Cricetulus griseus: one gene and its partner. The protein of the gene in region 1 purifies or fractionates together with the protein of each later gene. This does not show direct contact. Links are inferred from orthologs where the notes say so. Each region holds a gene or a part of one and is shown in the gene's direction. Other genes may lie near its edges.

What was found.
Region 2: the proteins of Ap1s2 (region 1) and Ap1g2 purify together in Homo sapiens (affinity purification with mass spectrometry; 3 studies listed by BioGRID and IntAct, counting the BioPlex papers as one, with this or other methods). This does not show direct contact. The link is inferred for Cricetulus griseus from reciprocal best matches to the Homo sapiens genes AP1S2 and AP1G2.

What each region holds. Positions count from the first base shown.
Region 1 is NC_048604.1:98,735,394-98,739,492, forward strand, and holds the start of Ap1s2 (AP-1 complex subunit sigma-2), read left to right. Parts: upstream 1-1,243; 5' UTR 1,244-1,258; coding exon 1,259-1,437; intron 1,438-4,099. UniProt on the Homo sapiens protein: Subunit of clathrin-associated adaptor protein complex 1 that plays a role in protein sorting in the late-Golgi/trans-Golgi network (TGN) and/or endosomes.
Region 2 is NW_023276807.1:210,295,823-210,300,152, reverse strand, and holds the start of Ap1g2 (AP-1 complex subunit gamma-like 2), read left to right. Parts: upstream 1-1,505; 5' UTR 1,506-1,528; coding exon 1,529-1,554; intron 1,555-1,711; coding exon 1,712-1,916; intron 1,917-2,377; coding exon 2,378-2,502; intron 2,503-2,639; coding exon 2,640-2,781; intron 2,782-2,899; coding exon 2,900-2,996; intron 2,997-3,170; coding exon 3,171-3,247; intron 3,248-3,369; coding exon 3,370-3,465; intron 3,466-4,000; coding exon 4,001-4,081; intron 4,082-4,330.

The sequences.
Region 1 (4,099 bases):
CGTTGAATGTCCAGTTGATGCTTTACTTGTCGTCCTCTTCGAATGCTGCTGTCTTCAGAACTTATATGGGCGGCACTTTGCTATCAATGAATTATATAGCGTGTTGTGGGTAATAGCCAATTTTAACTTCATTAAAGTTAAATGGCTACGCCATAAATTTCCGCATGTTTTCTTGAAGCCTTTTGGGGATATTACGAAGTGAATTTCCTGTCGAAATTTAGAGCCAGTTTGATTTTATATTAGTTACGTAAATTCCTCCTCCCGGTGTTCAAATTTAAGGTGGTGTGGTGAATATTAAGATCTGCCTTGGGGTCTTACTTGCACTGGCTGGTGCTGTTAAAGGAACTTAAAAGGGTTAAAAGAGAACACCTAACCGAATTTACCTTCAAATTAGCTTTACAATAGAGCTCCTTTTTACCAGTTGAATTATAAAATACCTGCCTTAGAAAATGTAGCCTGACCAACAGACATGCAAATGCTAAGTAAATACATACAAATTACCGTCTAGTGTGTACAAAACACACTAGAATCCAGCATATATTCAAATATATTTTTATTTTAAAATAAGTATTTTGTGAAATGTCTCAAATTTTGTTTTTAAATTAAGTATTCTCTGCAGTGTCTCAATATAAATAACTTTTGGTTAAGCCTTTCAGACTTGTATTATTCTCTTTCACATTTTACATTAATTCAGTTCTCCAGTGCTTATTTGTGTTAGATCTTACAAAAGTGAAATGCAAACATAAAAATCAGGCTTTTGTTAAGAAAATGTGTTGTTTGTGAGATCTTTTTGATTAATATTCTGTTTTGCTTACATATGTTAGCATAAATTGAGGGGAGTGCTTTAAGTGATAATCAGTCTGGCTGCAAGAAATTCAGCCTGGAACTAGAATAGTCTCGGGGTAGTACCTAAATCAACTACCTGATGTCTACAGTTGCCTTTTGATGCATATAGTGTGGAATGTGTAGCACAAGGAGAAAATTGTTTCTTAAATAATCAGAGTTCTTCAAAAATTTCACTCCAAATTCCCACCTGTTCTTCTTGCCATACACTCTCTTCTACACTTACCTACATATAGTAAGAAGATCTTGCCAAAAGAATTTCCTGCTATTATAGCCTGAATAGATGTGTTGATGGCTTACTAATCATTTGGCTGGGTATTTTCTGTATCCCCAAAGCAGCTCTGAAAAACCATGTGATCTTAACTCTTAATTCCTAGGTAATTGTATGTAATCTTGATTTTATTTATCTTAACAGATGCAGTTTATGTTGCTTTTTAGTCGTCAGGGAAAGCTTCGGCTGCAGAAGTGGTATGTCCCACTCTCAGACAAAGAGAAGAAGAAGATCACAAGAGAACTTGTTCAAACGGTTTTAGCTCGGAAACCTAAGATGTGTAGCTTCCTTGAGTGGAGAGATCTGAAGATTGTTTATAAGAGGTATCATTTTTGTATTTATCAGAAAGGTGAAATATGATCAAACATTAGGTTTATCTCTAATGAGAAAACTGCAGACTTTTTATGTCAATCAACAAGGATTAACAAATATTTCAATGAAATAAGTTAGTTTAAAGGAAAACTTTCCTTTTAAAAATAATGGCTGTTTTGATTGCTTGCCTAAAGCTAAAATGCTAGCAGCAGGGTAATCATTATTAAATTAATTATATAATTACAGCCAAACAATTATTTGTGCTTGGTCAACATTTTAGAAAAATTCAATGAATTCATTTCATTACAGGGGTAGTAGGGACACTATTTTAAATTTTTAAGTAATTTGATAAATAATGGGCATGCATAGATAATAGTGTGATAATCCTTCCAAAAAATCTATAAAGATTTATCAAGTAGCTGATATTTGGCATTCCTTTTATCTGACTTCTATATTAATCTTACTTATAAAGACCCTGAGCACATAGACCATTTCACTATACAGATGTTTAAGTACTTGTGTCTATACAAGATCTCTTTGCTAGTAGTATTTTTAATTTCAAATAGACTTGTTGCTATGGCGGAGTTCTGCTTAGATATGATAATTTTACCAAGGATAGATTTTTTTTAAAAGTGATGTTGCAAAATAACTTATAGATTAGCTTTTTACACAGTTTTTTTCTTTAATGCTATACATCTTTATTTTATATTATAGACTGTTTTTAGAGGGAACATTTCTTGTTTCTTTCCCATTTTTGGTCTTTTTTGAATAATTTACTGAATTTAAGATAAAAGCATTTCTTCATATAAAACACTCTTGTATGGGGAGTGTACAGAAAACTAACAGTAGGAAATGCAATGAAGGTGGAAAGAAATCATGTTTTCTTCTATTTTCTGATACAACATTCCAAGTATGGATGGGCTTTGTGGTGGAGGAGGTGACAGAGTAAGAAATGAGATTTATAGGACATAAAACCCTCTTAGGTGCTTTAGACTTATCTTTATTTCATAATGAATTTCATCAGTCTGGGTGGTTTTTTAAATTCAGTGTTTGGCTTGGTACTGGTTGAGAAAGATCATAGGAAAATCATAGCATTTGAAAGCTGGGAAATGCCTTAGAACAATCTACACGTACACACTCTCACACACAAAATATATATCTTTTTGACAGGGATAGAGTCTTGACTAAAACAAGTAGAAATACAGTTGCTTTTGTGGAATGAAAAATAAGAAGCTGTGCCCTGGCTCAATTGGCCTCTGCTCTCTGCACTAGAGAGAGGTCTTCAATTTGAAAAACAGTTACTGTTCAAATTTCAATTTATAAAAGATGAGAATTTGTGAATAGTGGTTTGGCCCAAGGTCATATACTAGTGATGGGCATGGGGCTACAACTTGTCTTAAGTGTAGAGGCAATGGTTTTAAACAGATGTGGGAAGAAATAAAGATTAGATTTGCATTTTTGAAAAGATTGCTGTGAAACCTTGGCTGGGGGAGTGAAAGGGGCTGAGACTGGCACCTGCAGGATCAGTGAGGGACTGCATGATAATTGGGTCCTGAGCTGAGAGGCTGGAAAGGAGACCTGTTACCTAGGTAAGTCTCAGTAGACTTGGCCACCCCAAGAAGCAGAGATAGCAACCAAGGAAAGAGGGAGTACAGTGGAGGCACCTCCATTTCTAGAGTTTGGCTTATGGGATGAAAGGTAAGCTAGAGAATTCAGTTAATTTGGTGACAAGTTGATATGGCCATATTTGTTCACTTGGCTCTCTGATGGGATGTGGTGGGCATAGGCATGGAACTTGAAGGTGACAATTAAACTTAAAGTATTAGATCACTAGCATTCAGGTGCAGATGGAAGGGCTAAAGAGGAGGCTTGCAGATCAAAATGAGAAAGAAGCAAAGGAGTGATGTTAGGTAAGTAAAGCCCAGGAGCAGATAAATTTGAGAGTAAAACACTAATGCCAGCTGTTCATGAAATTCAGTAAAAGTGAACAGCTCTTAGAATCTTAAGAGTAAGCACTTCATGCATTGCCCTGTTGCCAGAACATTGTCAGTGGAGTAGAGACAGAATTCGTGATATAACGAGGTGAAGATAGAGAAGTTGAAACCGCATGTGTAGAGTATTTGGGAGAGCTTTGCCAAGGACAGAAGAGGTGGTAACTGCTGGCTAGATCTGTATTCTGGAATCCTGGATAGGGTTTATAAAAGATGTGAGAAGTTTAAGCTTATTTCTAGATAGTGAAAGGAGTCCCCCGTGTGGAGGAGGAAAATCCTAGCAAGAGAACAAGCCCATGAATGGGGCCATTCAGAGGAAGAAAAGGAAACAGCAGGTTGGAGCTCGTAGACTTGTCGCTCAGCCTATTCTGGTGATCTCCCTACCTTTTTCAGAAATGATAAAAGAGAACTCCAACCTGATCTGATATTTAGATCAAAGTTTTTTTTCAAATGAAATTTGGAATTAACAAAAAGAAAAATAGCTTTATTGAGATGTTTCATATATAAAATACAGAGTGTATAATGTTTTTCTATAGGCTCCCTCGCATTTCATACTGAAAACTTCATTTACTTCCCACTTAACCATGTATTTTGTTATTATCAGGTGATGTGTTTTCCCTGCTCAGGCTGGAAGATAAGAACTTTTAAGCCAGAGAATGTCTACTGAGCTCCTAATAAATTC
Region 2 (4,330 bases), on another chromosome or scaffold:
TACTGGCCCAAATGGAGAACTGCAAGGAGAGTCACCTGGATCCACTCTGACATCCCAGAACCCAGCTAAGTTCTTGCCTAACTTGATCCTTCCCCGAGGGAGAAAAGGGGAGTGAACAGCAGAAAACTCCCTAGATGTTCCCTGTCCTTTGCTCCTCAGCCAGTCCCTCTCCCAACCCCCAAGGATGGCATGCTGTGCCAAGTGCAATGTGAAAAGCAACAAAAACTATTTGGTGCACCAAGCCCACTCCTCTCAGACTCTGCCACTCACCTCTCTATCCTTTTCTGCCCCCTAAAAATTTATTTGGTTGGTCTGGACTCACTTGTGGCCTTTGATTAAATTCCTAAGGGGCCTGAAGAAGACACTTCTGCCGAGGGTTAGAGGCACGGGAGCAATCGAAGACTCCGCTCCTCAGTTCTGGCAGTTGTGGGGAGCACTTCTAGAGGATAGAGCCAAGTCAGATAAGAGCCGGAAGGGCAGCAGAAGCTGCAACAAGTCTAGTTGTTTCCAGCCCATCACATCAGAGTCCTGTGAGATGGGAACACAAAGGGGAGTCAGAGGAAGCAATGTCTCCCACACTTCCCAGGCAGGGCAGAGGTGGGCGGGCGCCAACCCCAGGTGAGAAGTGGGTGAAGAAGAGCCCTGTTTGAGATATGGCTGATCCCTGTTACTAGCTTTTCCTCTGGGGACAGAAAGCTCTACAAGAGGAAACTGTAGAGCCCAGGGGAACTTTCCTTCCCTGCATGAGGCAGAGGCAAGCTGCCTGCCAACCCCCTTCCTCAAGGAATGGCCTTGCCCGGGAATGCCCACCACACACACTCTTCTTATTTTTCTAGTCAACCTCTGTTTACTCCCTGGCCTGCCTTCCTCCTCCCTCCCTTCTCAACCTTTACTTCTGATTTCTATATCATGGAATTTGGGATTGACGTTATACAACAGTGCCGCCAACACAAGTCTTGCAGGAAAAAAAAATACAAAGAAATTTAACAAAAAAAAAGTATATTAATAAAAAAGTTCCAAAAAGGGGGGGACTGTTATCTCCTTTGGAGTGCGATGGTTTCAAATTCAAGCTGAGTGTCACCTGATGGGTGGGTAATAAAGGAGGCCCCTTGGGGAGCCACAGTTCTGTAACAACTCGAGGCTCCTTCCCAAAGTTCCAAAGACTGAGGCCAGAGGTCAGAAATCTCAAGGCTGCTCAGTCTTGCAGCTCTAGAGGGGCGGGGTCCCGTAGTAGAGGCGGGGAAGAGGGAAGGACAGAGACCAACCACCAAGCCCAGCCGCGTCCTATACCAGGAAGTGCTGGGTGGGGGTAGAGAAGCAGAGTTGACACCGAAGCCAGGTGAGGTTGGGACCGGGAAACTGATACCTCCTGAGATGGGAAGGGGAGCAGGGAATCTCGCAAAAGAAATAGTTCAGGGATCCAGAAGGAAAACTAGAGGTAAGAAACTTGTCGGGGAAGGAAAGCAAGAAAGGGACTGGGCTTTAGCGCAGGCTCAGTAGAAAAAGACACGGGGTGGGGCGAGGACGCATGCGTAGTGGGGATGTCCTTGCGAGGTAGGATGGTCGCTCTCGGTTCCAGGTGGGAGGTAAATGTGGGCACAGTTTTAGGATGGTGGTGTGACTCAAGCCCTTGAAGATCTTGGCACAGAGCAATTCTAGCTATCTGGCTGGAATGGGTTAAAGCCTTTCCACTCTCGGGCTCTGCCCCCAGGATGGTGGTGCCTTCGTTGAAACTTCAGGACCTAATCGAAGAGATACGCGGGGCCAAGACTCAGGCCCAGGAACGGGAAGTGATTCAGAAGGAGTGTGCTCAAATTCGGGCCTCCTTCCGCGATGGGGACCCTCTGCAGAGGCATCGCCAGCTGGCCAAATTGCTCTACGTCCACATGTTGGGCTACCCCGCCCACTTTGGACAGGTACTGACCCGGGATAGCTACAAAACTTGAGGAAGATGATCAATGGGCCCCTTTGTGTATTTGTATCCCGTTTGCTTCTTTCTCTAGTTTTTGTTTTGTTTTGAGACAGGTTGTCTATGTAGCCTAGGCTAGCTTAGAACTGGCGAAAATCCCTCCCTCGGTTTCAGTGTTGGGATTTTCAGGCATACCACATTCCGCCCAGCTAAATCCTTTAGTTTCTGAGCCTTTTATCCATTACTCTACTAGCCAGCCCCGTTCTTAGCACCTTCCCAGCCTCCACTCCTACACAGGTCCCTGAAGCCTGCCTGCCATCATCTGGATCTCCAATTAAGCCTCTGGTTAAAGAGAGGGTGATGAAATTTGATTTCCTCACAAGTTAATCTGGCCTTAAGGAGGAGGATGCCGCAAAATTAGTGCTGTGGTTTCACACTACTCTTCCTGGCCTGCCTCCTTCCCTGTAGATGGAGTGCCTGAAACTGATCGCCTCCCCCAGATTCACAGACAAGAGGGTGGGCTACCTTGGGGCCATGCTTCTATTGGATGAGAGGCACGATGCCCATCTGCTCATTACCAACAGCATCAAGAAGTGAGAGGGCTCTGGGGTGCTTCAAATCAGGGCGTTGGGAGAGTGGGAACCGCAAAATCCCAGAGGGCTGCCTGCTATCAGTACTGGGAAGAACTGGTTTCCCCTGGCTTGACTGACCGTCCTTCCAAACCCTACAGTGACCTGAGCCAAGGGATTCAGCCAGTTCAGGGTCTGGCCCTGTGTACTCTCAGCACCATGGGCTCTGCTGAGATGTGCCGAGACCTAGCCACCGAGGTGGAGAAGCTGCTCCTGCAGCCTAGCCCCTATGTACGAAAGAAGGTGAGATGTAGACCTCTAGACATCTGCCTCTTCAGAAGGTGTTCCCAATCTGCCACATAGGAGAGGTGCGGAGTCTGACTTACTTGGTGGCCCTATCTGAGGCCCTTGACTTCTGCAGGCTGTTTTGACCGCTGTGCATATGATCCGGAAGGACCCCGAGCTCTCCAGCGTCTTCCTCCCACCTTGTGCCAAACTGCTCCATGAGCGCCATCATGGTAAGGGCACAGGGCTCTCCACTGTCCACTTCAGGTCTGGCTATGGATAGATGAAATGAAAAGCAAATCAGGAAGCCCTGCTCATCGGACAAGGGTGGTGCACACATACAAACACACGTGTAGTAGACTGTCCCATGGCCTGGCCCGCCATTCACTGCCCCACCCTGACCCCAGGCATCCTGCTGGGCACCACCACGCTGATCACGGAGCTCTGTGAAAGAAATCCTGCAGCCCTCAGGCACTTTCGCAAGGTGGGCTAGTGAAGGGGCAGGCCGTGGGGCAGGCAAAGGCGGGAGGTGGGTGAAGAATCGGGGCTGATGGTTGAGAAGAGAGGAGGTACCCTCAGACAAGGCTGCCTGTGCCCTTCTTCCAGGTGGTACCCCAGCTGGTACAGATCCTCCGGACTCTAGTGACAACAGGATACTCAACAGAGCATAGCATCTGTGGAGTCAGTGATCCCTTCTTACAGGTAAGCTGAGATGTACTTGTATCCCTGGAACAGCAAAGGCTTCACAGGAAGACCATGGCTGGTAGTCACTTTCCATTTTGGCACAGTCCAACTGGCAAGCTCATGATTGCTCTAGTCATCCTAGGACTGGGGATAGGGAATCAAAGGTAGCTACCAAAAAGTCAGAAAATCCAGTTTGGTAACCATATAAAAAGCCTGTTCCAAAGCCGGGTGTGGTGACACATGCCTTTAGTCCTAGCACTTGGGAGGCAGACAGAGGCAGGCGGATTTATGCAAGTTCAAGACCAGCCTGGTCTACAAAGCAAGTTCTAGGATATCCAGGGCTACACAGAGAAACCGTGTCTCGAAAAACAAATCAAAAAAGGCCTGTTCCAACCCCCCCTGACTCTACACAACTCTGATCTCCTCCCAGGGTCCAGGGATCTGTTGGGTGGGGGCGTGCTGGGAGTCAGAACCCTCGGTGTTGCCCACAGTGTTAGGTGTTTTCACTTCAGGCCCACGACATTATCCTATAAACCTTCTAATCCAATCTCAGGTCCAGATACTTCGTCTGCTTCGAATCCTGGGACGGAACCATGAAGAAAGCAGTGAGGCCATGAATGACTTGCTGGCCCAGGTAAGAGGCACCCCTTCGGCATGTGGTTCCTTAGGGTCCATCAGCCCTGGACTTTCCTCACATGACCATTTATTATTCAGAAGTCTCCTAAACCAATGAATTCCGTGAAGGAAGGATATAGTCTGTCATTGTTCTATCACCCTAGTGTACAGGCAGTTCTTACATAGAGTAGGGATCAGGGAACTTTGTTAGGGGCAGAAGGACAGAGAAGAGAGAACATAGTAGTCACCTTCCAGAAATCACGGGGAG